Linked DNA regions of Arabidopsis thaliana. The protein of the gene in region 1 interacts with the protein of each later gene in a pairwise test. Each region holds a gene or a part of one and is shown in the gene's direction. Other genes may lie near its edges.

Region 1 (4,011 bases):
AGTGATAATGATTAGTCGATTTTGATTGTTTCAAAAGATCATCAAATTGGAATCTTTTGTTAGTTTGACTTGAGTAATAGAGATTTCGATTGAGAATTTGTATAAAGTTTGCTCTTTTGGTTCATATAGACTGAGCCCAATAGTCCTCCATAAATGGTTTTAGGTACTTTCATCAGTAGCTTCTCGGAACTCACTCCAAAAAATTTGATCTTTTCGTTTCGTGTGTACTGTTGTAGTGTTGAAACAAGTGATATGGTTAGTTGTGTGCAAAGATAAGTTTGAGCTTGGTCTCAGGGAAGGTTTGTGTTAATATGGGATTCCTAACAATACCAGTTGTTTAAGATAGGGAAAGTTTGGTCATTTGATTTTGATTTTGGGATAAGTGTATCTGAAGTTGCTTTAGAGGCGTGGAAGTAAGTAAACCATTGATGATTCGGAGAGTTTATCAAGATGCCTTTAGTTTTTCTTAGATGAATCAGATCCTAGGGGAGAGAGTTCTCTTAATGGTGTTAAGCTGTTAGATCACAGCTATAGGCCTACTATAGCTGATTCAGAATTTCAGTATCACTTACTGTGAATTGGTTTGACATCTTACTTATAGCTGGTATAGTGTTCATTGTCTTTGAGGAGTCTTTATACTTATCCATCGAATGGGCATTGTCATTAGCGCAACTTGGTAGAATATTTAGATAAGAGTGAAGGTTACTACTTTCTTAGCCGGAGAAGTTTATGTAAGGCAACAAGGAATTTTCTTTTAACAGTGTTTGATAAACATCTTGAGCTTTGTTCTTCTGGACTGCCTGTGTTTGCATTGTGATCTGACTATTAAAGCGGTTACTGGATTGCAGGAGGATTTACGGAATAATATGATATCAGTTGTCAAGGAGTCAACATCTTTGAAACGACATGGTGCTCAAAATATGAAAACCAGGCAACTCTCTGATGCGATATTCGAAGAAGTCGGGTAAATTAAGAGGGATTTTCTTCTATTCAGCTAACTCCTGTTGTTGTAAATGATTATGACACAAGCGTACTAAATTTTTTGGATTGTTTCCTGTAGGAGCAAGATGCTAAGCCAGCTCTCAGATGGTTTATGGGGGATAATAAGATCAGAAGACGGGATGAAGAATGAAATCAGAGAAACCGTTCAATCCGTCTACGCCACATTATCTAACCCGAGAGGCGAGAAACGCGGAACATCCGCTAGAGAAATGGAACATAAGATTCCAACACCAAAAAAAGAAGCAAGAACTGATTTCAACACCAGTCCAGCGAGTAAACAGAAGCAAGAGCTGATTAAAGGAGCTGTAGAAGATAACAAAGGAGAGGCATGTAGTGATGATGTACAAGATAACAAAGGAGAAGCATATAATGATGATGAAGAAGATCCTGAACTCCCTCCTGGCTTTGGCTAAAACTGTTTTTTGTATCATCAATAAACTCCCTCTGAAATATTATTGCGTTTAAGGTAATAACACCAACTGTTTGTAATAACAACAGAATTACTGCACATTAATTTACCAAAGTAATAGTGATCCCCAGATTAACCGATTTATTTTTTAATTAAAAATGATAAAATTTAAAGGTTGTTGAAAGGTCAGAAATAAAAAGCCGCAAAAACTGAAGAAGCAAGATAATGGCATCAATTCTCAGGTCAGTGGCAACGACTTCAGCCGTCGTAGCCGCCGCCTCTGCGATTCCCATCGCGATCGCCTTCTCTTCTTCTTCTTCTTCTTCCTCTACCAACCCCAAATCTCAATCTCTCAATTTCTCCTTCCTCTCCCGATCGTCTCCACGTCTCTTGGGACTTTCACGAAGCTTCGTTAGCTCTCCGATGGCGACTGCTCTCACTTCTGATCGTAATCTCCATCAGGTTTTGGTTTAAAGCTTTGAACTTTTGAAATACCCTATTTCCAATTTGAGCTTTTTCGCTTTCCTGATTCGATGATTAAGTATTTAAGTAGCTGAATTTGATTTGCAGGAGGATCGAGCCATGCCTCAGCTTCTTGTAAGTCTTTCTCGTAATCCTGTATCTTTATACAACAATTTTTGGATTTGAGCTAGTGAGAACTTGTGTTGTGTGTTCCAGACTGAGTTTATGGTGGATATGACATGTGAGGGTTGTGTTAATGCTGTGAAGAACAAATTAGAAACCATTGAAGGTAGTAGGAGAAACAACTTTATTAATCGTCGTCTGTTTGGTTATGATTTACTTTGTTGGTGCTTATTATGTGTAATGGAAATTTTTAATCTTGTAAGGTATTGAGAAAGTGGAGGTGGATTTGTCCAATCAAGTTGTGAGGATACTTGGATCTTCCCCTGTTAAGGCTATGACTCAAGCTTTGGAGCAAACTGGTCGAAAAGCTCGCTTAATTGGACAAGGTGTTCCTCAAGGTTAGATATCTCTTCTCGGGTCACTTTGGTTTTTGTTTGAGAAGAAAGATTTGAACATCAAAAGAAAGAAGATATATTTTCTCAGCTCATAGAACATGTAAGGAGTACATGGCTTGTGTTTATGTTTAGTTCAACATTAAGAAGATTTACGTACTGGCAATTTTCCATTCTTGAGCTACTCTTTAATACACTGACAGTATTGAATTTGAGGATTTACCGTTTCAATTCCACGGTTTGTCTTTCATTGATGACCTCTTTCCTCATTTGTTTTATGATATTTACTTTGTGATGTGTTTTGGCAGATTTCTTAGTCTCAGCTGCAGTAGCAGAATTCAAAGGCCCTGACATTTTCGGGGTAGTCCGATTTGCTCAGGTCAGTATGGAACTTGCAAGAATCGAAGCCAACTTTACCGGTTTGTCACCCGGAACCCACAGCTGGTGTATCAACGAGTATGGAGATCTCACAAACGGAGCAGCCAGCACAGGGAGCTTGTACAATCCATTTCAAGATCAAACTGGCACAGAGGTTGGTGAAACGCATTCTTAGAAAACGAAAATGTCATCACAATCCTCTAAAAACTCTCTTTTTCTTCTGTCAGCCATTGGGAGACCTGGGAACACTAGAGGCAGACAAAAACGGAGAGGCCTTTTATTCGGGAAAGAAAGAGAAACTCAAGGTTGCAGACCTTATCGGGAGAGCCGTCGTGGTGTACAAGACCGATGATAATAAGTCAGGCCCCGGATTGACCGCCGCAGTGATTGCTAGAAGCGCAGGGGTTGGAGAAAACTACAAAAAACTTTGTTCTTGTGATGGTACTGTCATATGGGAAGCTACAAACAGCGATTTCGTGGCCAGTAAGGTTTAATAACAAGTCAACAACCATACATTTTATAAAACGTTACGTTTTTTAGTGATTGAGAACTTGTTTTGTATCAAAACTTGAGGTTTATATTGAAACAACACAAGCTTTTTGTTTTGTACCAAAACTCTCTGTACTTTCAATTGCGTAACTAATGTTGAGCCCCTATCAGAATTTGATCACTATACTATATATTGTGTGTATCTAATCAATGTTCAACAGGTTTCGTGGTGTAGTTGGTTATCACGTCAGTCTAACACACTGAAGGTCTCCGGTTCGAACCCGGGCGAAGCCATTTTGCTTTTGTAATAGTATAGACCAAATGTTTTAGATAATGTTTCGTTGTCACGCGGGCCCTATCAGCAACTAGCTTTAGTTTCACTGTTTTTGGCCCACTAAAATTGGGTCGCACATGGAAACAAATGGTTCCTACAATATTGTGCCCTACATAATTTATTCTGGTAAACGTAAGAAGTATTTAAATCATATAGAATTTTGAATTCCAAGAACATGTGAAATGTTATGTGCTGCTATAAACTACTCTCAAATAATAAAATCTCACATTGTCAGAGATGAATTATTATATACTATGTTTTTTTCTTACATTAAAAATTGATTGCTTTGTAGTATTAAACTAAATAGTAATGGTTAGACAGAACATCAAACTTCAAACATTTTGGTGTAATTTCTGTTGTCTGGTTTTTTTATTAGGGAGCCATACATACTTTTTTGGTTTTAATTTATGAAGGTCGATACA
Region 2 (4,791 bases), on another chromosome or scaffold:
AATATCAAAATAATGAGAAACAAGAACTTAATTAGGAAGGACAAAACAAGGTTTGCTACAAATGCATTTGCGGGTGAATCCTTTGCAACGACCGTCAGTGAAACCTTCGCTAATGCATACTTGGCGACAATTCCTCCATTTCAGACACATACCCTTCCAGTCCAAGCTCTTTGCTTCACACATTTGTTGTCCTTCAACCATCTCTATATCTATAATATAATACATTATCATTATTCAATAAATAATTGAATAATAATATAATTATAATCATATAAACAATCAATAATTGACTTATTCTTCAATATCATCAAATATTAAATTATTCAAGTAGATGCGTAAAACCCCATGCATTAAATATTAAAATATAAGCGTATATTATATGTTTTAGTAACTTTTTAATATTGTGAGTTTGTGAGAAACTAGATTTGCATACCTGGTGAAGCAAGAAGAATGGTTAAGAAGAAAAGTGTTGGAATTAACTGCATAGAGGTAGTAGAGCTCTTCATTTTATTTCCTACTAACTAGTTAAGCGATATGAATACGTGGGGAGAATTGTTGATATTGAAAATTAGCGTGAGAATGTCGCATTTATAGTAAACATGTGCACAAAGCTTTTTTGGTATATCAACGTATGCATACGATAATGAAGAACAATAGGAATATGTGGAAAAGAATCTGATCTTGACGAAAAATATCTGCAAATACACATACGAGAATATTTTGTTGTTTATATATATCTCTAGTACTGTACTGTACTGGTTAAAGATATATGCTAATGATTTTTTCTTTCTTTAACCACTATGAATAGACAATCTACCATAAGAGAAGAGATTGAATCAACATAGTTAAAGTGGGCCGAGGGGACTGATACAATGAACGTATAGACTATAGAGTGTTAAGAAAATTACAAAGTGGTAGTAATATCATAGATGAATTTAGACTAATGTGAAGCTAGACAGATATGCAAAAAACCATTCCTCCATAAGTTCTTCCAAAAAAAATTCCTTTATAATGATATATTTGTAGTTTAGATTTTGGTGTGTTTTGACTTTTGAGTTTATATCTTTATCCAATAAAACAAAGTTACGTACAAAATTGATCAAAGCCAGTCACACAGCCTAAAATTAACTTTAGATTACATTATCACTAACTTGCTTAGATAGGAAACCATCGTTTTAATCAATCAATCATAAATTTGGTTATCTATAAAGTTTTAACATAATATCAATATACAGAGAAATAAAAAATTTAGTACAAATGTTTGGAGTTTGGTTGTTACATAATTCGCAGATTGTAAAATTTAATAGTTTATTACATTAAACAATGATGTAAGCACAGTTAATAAATTATTATTCTAATGACATATCCGATCCAGATGCAATCTGAATTTCACTCGGACCAGTAAATTTACCAATTGAGGTCGGTTTGATTGCCTATAACCGGTAACCGGCGAGACCGACAGATATCATCAGAAAAGACGAAAGAGTTTCATGTTTTTTTTTTTTTTGTTTAGGCTTTTAGCCAAACTCTCTCTAGTCTCTCTCTCTCTCTCTACTTGAGAGTGCCGTCTCCATTTTCTCAACGTAGTCGTTTATTTTGAACAAAGACTCTCTCCGTTTACCAAAGGTCATCTCTTTTCTTCCTCCTTCTCTCACTTTTGATTATATTTTCTGACTTCCTCCTCCTTTCTCAGAAATTCTCTTTCGATCTTCTCTACAGTGTTGTTAACGATGAGGAGGTGCTTCTCCAAAATTACTGATTGCCACTTGGGTTTCAAGAATTCCAACTTCTTATTGGTAAATTTCCCAACTTTACTAATTCTCACTTCTCTGCTACAATGGGTTTCGATTTCTCCCACTCAAGTTGGTTGCTTTTTCGAATTGATTTATTCCTGTAGCTACTAGTATTTGCTTATATAGTGTAAAGGTTAGGGATTTAAGAGCTGAATGAATTCATTTTGTGTTCTTTTATTTAGAGAATCAATGCTTATTTGGAATTCTTAAACAGGTTGGTTCTGAAGTTGGTTCAGGTTCAGTAACGAGAACCATTACTACTACTACTAGTGAGCGTTTATTTAGCAGTAGTTATGCAGCTCATCAAGTTGATCAGATAAAAGACAATCCTGTCTCTGACATGTTGATTGATAAATTTGGTCGCTTACATACCTACTTGAGGATATCTTTGACTGAGCGGTGTAATCTCCGGTGTCAGTATTGTATGCCGTCTGAAGGTGTGGAACTTACTCCTAAGCCTCAGTTGTTGTCACAGTCTGAGATTGTTAGGTTGGCTGGTCTTTTTGTTTCTGCTGGTGTTAACAAGATTCGGTTGACTGGTGGCGAGCCTACGGTTAGGAAAGATATCGAAGAGATTTGTCTGCAGTTGTCTAGTTTAAAAGGGTTGAAGAATTTGGCTATTACTACCAACGGTATCACTCTTGCGAAAAAACTACCAAGGCTTAAGGAATGCGGACTTGATTCGCTGAATATCAGCTTGGATACTCTGGTTCCAGCAAAGTTTGAGTTTCTGACTAGACGTAAAGGGCATGATAGGGTTATGAAATCGATTGATACTGCTATTGAGCTTGGATACAATCCTGTGAAAGTATGTTTATTAATCCTTCTTCATGTTTTCTGTTTGAATGTAGCAGAACGATATTTGATGTTCAAGAGTTTTTGCAAATCGTTCTTGGTTTTGACAGGTCAATTGTGTTATCATGAGGGGATTGAATGATGATGAGATTTGTGATTTTGTTGAGTTGACACGCGACAAGCCAATCAATGTCCGGTTCATCGAGTTTATGCCATTTGATGGAAATGTTTGGAATGTGAAGAAACTTGTACCTTATGCAGAAGTGATGGATAAAGTGGTAAGGTAGAATTCTCTCAATGTTTAGCCTTTTTTGAGATTACTCAACTTTTCCTTGAGCATTTTCATGATTGGTTTCAGTTGTTATGGTAACAGGTCAAGAGGTTTCCGAGCATAAAACGAATGCAAGATCACCCAACTGAAACAGCTAAGAACTTTACGATCGATGGGCATTGCGGTTCTGTTTCTTTCATCACATCCATGACAGAACACTTCTGTGCTGGCTGCAATAGATTGAGACTTCTTGCAGATGGGAACTTCAAAGTTTGCTTGTTTGGTCCTTCAGAGGTAAAGTACATTTCCAAATTTTTCCATGGCTAAAAGTCAGTAACTGTTGATTCAAGTGGCTGCGAACATGTACAAGTGTGCAATAACTTGAGTACCGGTAAACATGAGTATTCGTGGTTGCTTCTCAATAATGTGACGATCATTTTGTTTCGCCCGATGATTTCTTGTGAACAGGTTAGTCTGAGAGATCCTCTCCGGTCTGGTGCTGATGATGAGGCGCTAAGGGAAATTATAGGCGCTGCTGTAAGTATTTAGTTGCTTCATCTGATTTTACGAACCAGTCAAGAAATCTTTCCTCTGTTTTTCGTTTCTGTATTGACTTAAAATTCACAATGGGTTTCAGGTGAAGAGAAAGAAAGCTGCACACGCTGGAATGCTTGACATTGCTAAAACAGCTAATAGACCAATGATACACATTGGTGGCTAAGCTCCGGTGAACGTAAGTTCTTTAATCCATTGTTATGTAACTCATAAAAATTGGATACTTTGTGTCGATTCAAGGGTTTTGACACTTGATCTCAGTAACAAAGTCTTTGATGCATTGATCCGTTTAGTGTAACTCTGCGTTTTGATTCACGTGACTCATCGCGTCATATTTCTCTTTACAGGTTGGTGAAGTTCCTGGAAAACACTACAAGGAACATTTGAGTTTTATATCTTGTAAGAATCTATCTGCTGCTCCCAACTCTGTGAGACTGTGACAAACTTTTTTGCAAACAAGAACAAGAAGACTGAAGAGTTTCTCAAACTGTTTCTTCTCTGTATACGTAACAGACACTGTACAGGAACTCAGAATTTCCACACGAATCTTTTCAGTCCAATTACTTTTCTTATTTATGGCCAAAAAGATCAACTATAAGCTTTTATTATGTTAAGAATTTTAAAATCTTAAATTTGATAACAACAACAAATTCACTTGCGATATTGATCAAAGCTTATTGTATAATAGAGTTTTGAGATACATGACTTGTACTCTGCTGTTTTATTAGCTTACATAAAAATAGGTATCTTATTAATGGCTTATTCATAACAATATAATGTCTAGTTTTCGGTAGAAAGAAGAGCACAAGGCTTCCTGCAAACACATTTGTTGTTGAAGAATCCTTTGCATCGACCATCAGGGAAACCTTCGCTAATACATACTCGCTTGCAACTCCTCCATTTCAAGCACAACCCCCTGTAGTTTAAGCTTTTCGTTTCGCACAATTGTGGTTGTCCTTCAACAACCATCTTCATACCTATAAGATCATGGCATTTTATTATTCAATAAGAAATCAAATTTATAACCATAAATATAATCAAGAATGACCAAAGCTTTTTGTTTGTTGATAACTTATAACCAACCAATATCTTTTTATTGCTCCTAACTCCTAATATGTGTTTATGTAAATATGTGATTTTCAATATTCTATGGCAAAGTATGAGATAAGTTGTAGTGTTGTTTTTTCATTATCATAATAGTTTGAACTAAATAGTGTATGCATAAAAACAAATGTTAAACTAAACAAGGGAAATAAAGTATAAGTTTATAACGTATAGTTTAGTAGATTTGTTTAGGATTTGTATACCTGGTGCGACAACAAGTATGACTAGGAAGAAGAGTGTAGAGATTAACTGCATAGAGCTCTTCATTTTGAT
Region 3 (4,500 bases), on another chromosome or scaffold:
TTATAAATTGTACTAAATTTAAGAAAAAGGGTTGTTTGTATATTTGTTTTTGCCTTAATACACTAATTTGCATTTTGATATTTTAAATTTGTTGTAAAATTTATTACAATAATCTAGTAAAGTTAAATTATCAATATGTTATTAGATCAATGTTAGAATCATTTTACAATATTCATATTGTAAGATTTGCATTTCAATATTTTAAATTATTGTAAGATTGTATATATATACACTTATTTATAGCCTATAGACATTTATTATTTCTTATTCATAATTGTAAACTAAATTATTAGTGTTAATTTTTATTTTGCCACAATTAATGTTAGATCTAAAGTTTAAAATCCAAGATTATATCATATTGTACATTTGTTTATTTACTTTTCATTATTCTAAAGTAGATTAATAGTGTTAAATCTCTCTTTTGCCACAATTAATGTTAAATATAAATTTAAGACTCCAAGATTAGATCATTAATTTCTTTATATATTGATATAAAAATCTAAACTAAGAATTATCATCGTACGAAAAGAATGGAGGGTGACAAACATAATAATTCTAAGACAATTTTTTCAATGCATAAAAAATAATCCTACGACAATGATTATATCAGAGGATATAGTTGAAGAGATATTTCAATATCTTCCAATAAAATCACTAGCTAGATTCAAAGTCTTGTAAAAAAATGGAGATCAATGATCAAATCAACCTACTTTTCCCACAAATGACTCGTTCGTACAGGTTTACCAACCCCTAATATGAAATATCTTCATGTTAGTCAACACTTTTCAGCGAATTTTGTTGAAGAAGATTCAACTCAATAACTTTTCTTTTGGAGACTTTTTCTAGAGATGACCATAACAACGGAAAAAACTGTCATTCTTCTTCTTGTTACTACACTTTTCCTGATGATCCAATCGACAAATGTCAAAATAAAACCATTCAAGTATTGGGATCTTGTGATGGATTGGTCTTGATTCAGATCCATGACGATTTTAGGCACATTTACTTGATCAATCCTTCGACTAAAGAACACATGAAACTTTCCAAAGTGGTGCGTCGTTGGTACGCACCTTGGTTACTTTCTTAGATTACATGACCGTGCATACATGATATTTGTTATTATTAGTTAAACTTATACATATCAACTTGATTACTTTTTTTAGCTTTGTAGTATCCGAAAAAACTTTTCATGCATGCTCCGTTAGACCTTTCGATCTGCGGTAATTTCCGTAACGTTCGCGTAGCCAGGTTGCAAATTAAATCGCAACCTCAGTATCTTGAAGGCAAATCAAACCTTGGATGGGTTTAGAAACATTTCAAAGTGGTGTTTCGTTGGTACACATCTCTTGTTGACCGGAAGACAAGAACAATGCTTCCTCCTCTTGACAAACAGAATGAAACAACGTTTCGGGTTTGTTTTGGTAGATTGGTAAAACATTGGTGACGAACAACACTCGAGGCTTTTTCATTGATCAACTCAAGTAAATTTCTCTGAATTCTACGGAGCAAATAAATGATGCACATTGCTTTGAGACGCATAGCCATTTCGCCAAGACTTTTAGAGGCATCGGTAACAGAATCTTCATTTGTAGATCATAAGGAAGTGTTTCAAAGCTTGAATTCTCCATTCTTGTTTTTTTGTTTGTTATGATATTTTGTGTTTTGAGACATAGAGACCTACTAAACACACATGTGATATTTATAAGAGATTCTCAAAAATTGGTTTGTTACCAACGTTGTGACTTGTTGAGTCGTAAAACGTGTACATGCATCTCTGATTTATATTTCCAAAAGAGAAATATTAGTTCCTCACATTAAAACTTACCATAATTATTGGCCAATTAAGATTCTTTATTTTCTACTTTCTCTCGTTTAAATTTATCTTTTAACACAAAAATAAAATAAAAATCATTAAGAATTAAAAATTCCAAAAAAAAATAGAAATAATCAATGCACCACAAGCACTCCAATTAAACGCAGGCGTTTTGATCATCACCGGAGGAGGTCAATTTCTGATTTCTTCCGGCGAGAAAACAAACGAAAGAGTGAAAAAAAGGCGACTTTTTTCTTGTCCCGGGTTATAAAGATGTCAGCTTTGTGTCCTGTCTGCAATCTCACGCTTCCTCTCTCCCTAATCCAAAGGTATCAATCCCTAATTTCAGCTTTGTGTCCCTTATTTCTATATGCTTCTTAGTTGCATTCTCTCGAGGTCTTGATGTGTTTGTCTGGTTATGGTGGATGGTTTGACTCAGCCATGTGAATTCCCACTTCGAAGACGATGAAATCAATCCACAAATCGAAACCGATCACCACTTGGCTCTGCAACTCGCTTCTGATGATCATTCTTCTGATGATCCTTCTTCGTCTTCCTCTGCTTCATCATCTGTAATACTTTCTTAAAACCCTTAAATCTTCTTTCCACTCCTGTGTTAGGTTCAGAAAAGAAAACCCAATTGATAAAACATTGTTTCATTTCTGCAGAACAACGTTGCCTCCTTGGTCCAGTTACAGACTAAGAGTCAATTCTATAGTGTAGGTCATGGTGGTTTGATTTGTTTGCTGAGGAACTGTCTGGAGTCAGAACTGAAATTGAAGTCGAAACCTTTAGAGTGTAGTACTAGTTTACTATCAGGCTTTGTTGATCATTTTCAATCTTCGAAGGAGGATAAAGGTTGGGGATGTGGATGGAAGAACATTCAAATGCAATGCTCTCATTTGCTTTCTCATAGAGAAGAAGCTAAGAGAGTTCTCTTTGGTGGTTCTAATTTTGTTCCTGATATTCCTTCGCTCCAGCGATGGCTTGAGTTAGCTTGGAACAAGGGGTTTGATGTTTCTGGAGCTCTTCATTTTGATAATCGAATATGTGGTTCCAAGAGATGGATTGGAACTACTGAATGTGCTGCGTTGTTACGTTCTTTCGGGTTGAAAGCGAGGATTGTTGATTTTGCTCCCGAGAAGTCTAAATCGATGTATCTTTCAGTTCCTGGTTCTGCTATTGCACCCAAGGTAAAGTCATATGGTCCCATGGACAGATATATGGTTAAAAAGGGGGGAAGTGGGAAGGGAAAAGCAGTTGACTCTCATAGTTCTAATTCTTCTAGGATCAGCAAAGGAGCGGTTTTAATGGAATGGGTTTGGAATTACTTCTCAGATAACAGGTTAAGTGTTTCATCCGGTGTTCATATTACGAATAAAGGGTAGGTTGTTTTGTTTCAGTTCTTGATCTCTGAAATGTCTTTTGTAACTTCAAAACACATTACGTCTAAGGTTCCTGAGTTGATGTTATCGTGTGTACTGCAGGCCCTTGTATTTCCAACATGAAGGGCACTCGAGGACAATTGTTGGGGTTCAGAGACGGTTGCAAGGAACTACATTTACTCCTCAGTACAATCTCCTAATTTTGGACCCGGCTGATGTGAGTATACATGAACATCAGCTTTTACTAAAGTTGAATGTGATTAATGATTGTGAGACTTGAATGTGAATGCAGTTTACTAGAGCTATAGAGATAGCGCTTATAGAGAAGAGAGGATGGGAGGGATATCTTAAAAGAGGAGCTCACACACTGAAATGCCCCGAGTATCAGGTCTCAGCTTTGAACTCTGATATCAATCATTTCTTTGTTATTTTGCATAAAGCTAAGTGATTTTGTCTGAGTGTGATTTGGGGAATATTGTGATGATATATACATACAGATGCTGTACGTTGATAATGGAATTGCTGATGGAGAGGAGTTGGAGAAGCTCAAAACCATTGATAGTCACTTTGTTGAATTCTAATGACTTCCATCAAAAATTGAAGAATGGTTCTTGAAGATTCTTAGATTAATTGCAATTTTTCAGGACTAGGAGTTAGACTACTATGACTTTCCAAGTTTCAACGAACGTATAAGATGTGGCTATTTATTAGAAACATTGAGAAAATACAGAATTTTAACCAGAGATAAGCATCTTTATCACCACACCTAAAAATAGAAATGTCTTTCCAAAAGCACTTAAAACTAGAGAGAACGAGTCATAAAGTAAAAAAAAAAAAAAAGAAGCTATAGAGCTTTTTTTCAATTCCTCCAAGTTTGGTGATCCCTTCTTCCTTCCTCTGGCAACAAAACCTTTTTCATGTGTGCCTCAAATGAACAACAAAACCTCACTGTTGTTCTTCCATGGACTCTGAAAATTGTGACATTTTAGAGGTTTTGTTGGTTATTTAAGAGGCAGATGCAGCCACCTTCTTCCTCACTATCCTTTTTCGCCGAGCCTTTGGAGGTGGAGAATCTGAAACTGAATCTTCTTGCTTCTTCCCGAGTAGCCCTGAGACAATTGCATTCTTTGAGATGAACCATTTTGAAGATGGCTTTGCTACTGCTTCCTCTGAGGGTCGGTTGTATGCTTTTGCCAGCAGATCATCTGACTGCGCCAGTGGGTCTGCCTCTACACCTAGCCATACTTGTCTTGACTTTTCCCCTAATTGCACATTCATAATCCTGTACCACATACATCCATC

The links.
Region 2: the proteins of CCS (region 1) and CNX2 interact in a two-hybrid assay, tested with the Arabidopsis thaliana proteins (one large-scale study listed by BioGRID).
Region 3: the proteins of CCS (region 1) and AT5G24680 interact in a two-hybrid assay, tested with the Arabidopsis thaliana proteins (one large-scale study listed by BioGRID).

What each region holds. Positions count from the first base shown.
Region 1 is NC_003070.9:4,266,526-4,270,536, reverse strand, and holds CCS (copper chaperone for SOD1), read left to right. Parts: upstream 1-1,554; 5' UTR 1,555-1,636; coding exon 1,637-1,873; intron 1,874-1,981; coding exon 1,982-2,008; exon of another isoform or gene 2,009-2,089; coding exon 2,090-2,162; exon of another isoform or gene 2,163-2,259; coding exon 2,260-2,394; intron 2,395-2,696; coding exon 2,697-2,920; intron 2,921-2,993; coding exon 2,994-3,260; 3' UTR 3,261-3,463; downstream 3,464-4,011. Other genes in the region: AT1G12530 (uncharacterized protein), read left to right, coding at 849-964, 1,061-1,415. UniProt on the Arabidopsis thaliana protein: Copper chaperone for the superoxide dismutases CSD1, CSD2 and CSD3. Binds copper ions and delivers them specifically to CSDs. Is required for assistance in CSDs disulfide bond formation and thereby activation of CSDs.
Region 2 is NC_003071.7:13,583,424-13,588,214, reverse strand, and holds CNX2 (cofactor of nitrate reductase and xanthine dehydrogenase 2), read left to right. Parts: upstream 1-1,511; 5' UTR 1,512-1,730; coding exon 1,731-1,796; intron 1,797-2,007; coding exon 2,008-2,601; intron 2,602-2,698; coding exon 2,699-2,866; intron 2,867-2,961; coding exon 2,962-3,153; coding exon of another isoform or gene 3,154-3,186; exon of another isoform or gene 3,187-3,327; coding exon 3,328-3,396; intron 3,397-3,496; coding exon 3,497-3,580; 3' UTR 3,581-3,592; intron 3,593-3,761; 3' UTR 3,762-4,194; downstream 4,195-4,791. Other genes in the region: LCR75 (low-molecular-weight cysteine-rich 75), read right to left, coding at 28-209, 434-506; LCR76 (low-molecular-weight cysteine-rich 76), read right to left, coding at 4,195-4,391, 4,722-4,785. UniProt on the Arabidopsis thaliana protein: Catalyzes the cyclization of GTP to (8S)-3',8-cyclo-7,8-dihydroguanosine 5'-triphosphate.
Region 3 is NC_003076.8:8,451,580-8,456,079, forward strand, and holds AT5G24680 (Peptidase C78, ubiquitin fold modifier-specific peptidase 1/ 2), read left to right. Parts: upstream 1-1,995; 5' UTR 1,996-2,086; coding exon 2,087-2,142; intron 2,143-2,252; coding exon 2,253-2,385; intron 2,386-2,481; coding exon 2,482-3,197; intron 3,198-3,300; coding exon 3,301-3,415; intron 3,416-3,490; coding exon 3,491-3,586; intron 3,587-3,695; coding exon 3,696-3,779; 3' UTR 3,780-3,939; downstream 3,940-4,500. Other genes in the region: AT5G24690 (plant/protein, putative (DUF3411)), read right to left, coding at 4,204-4,480.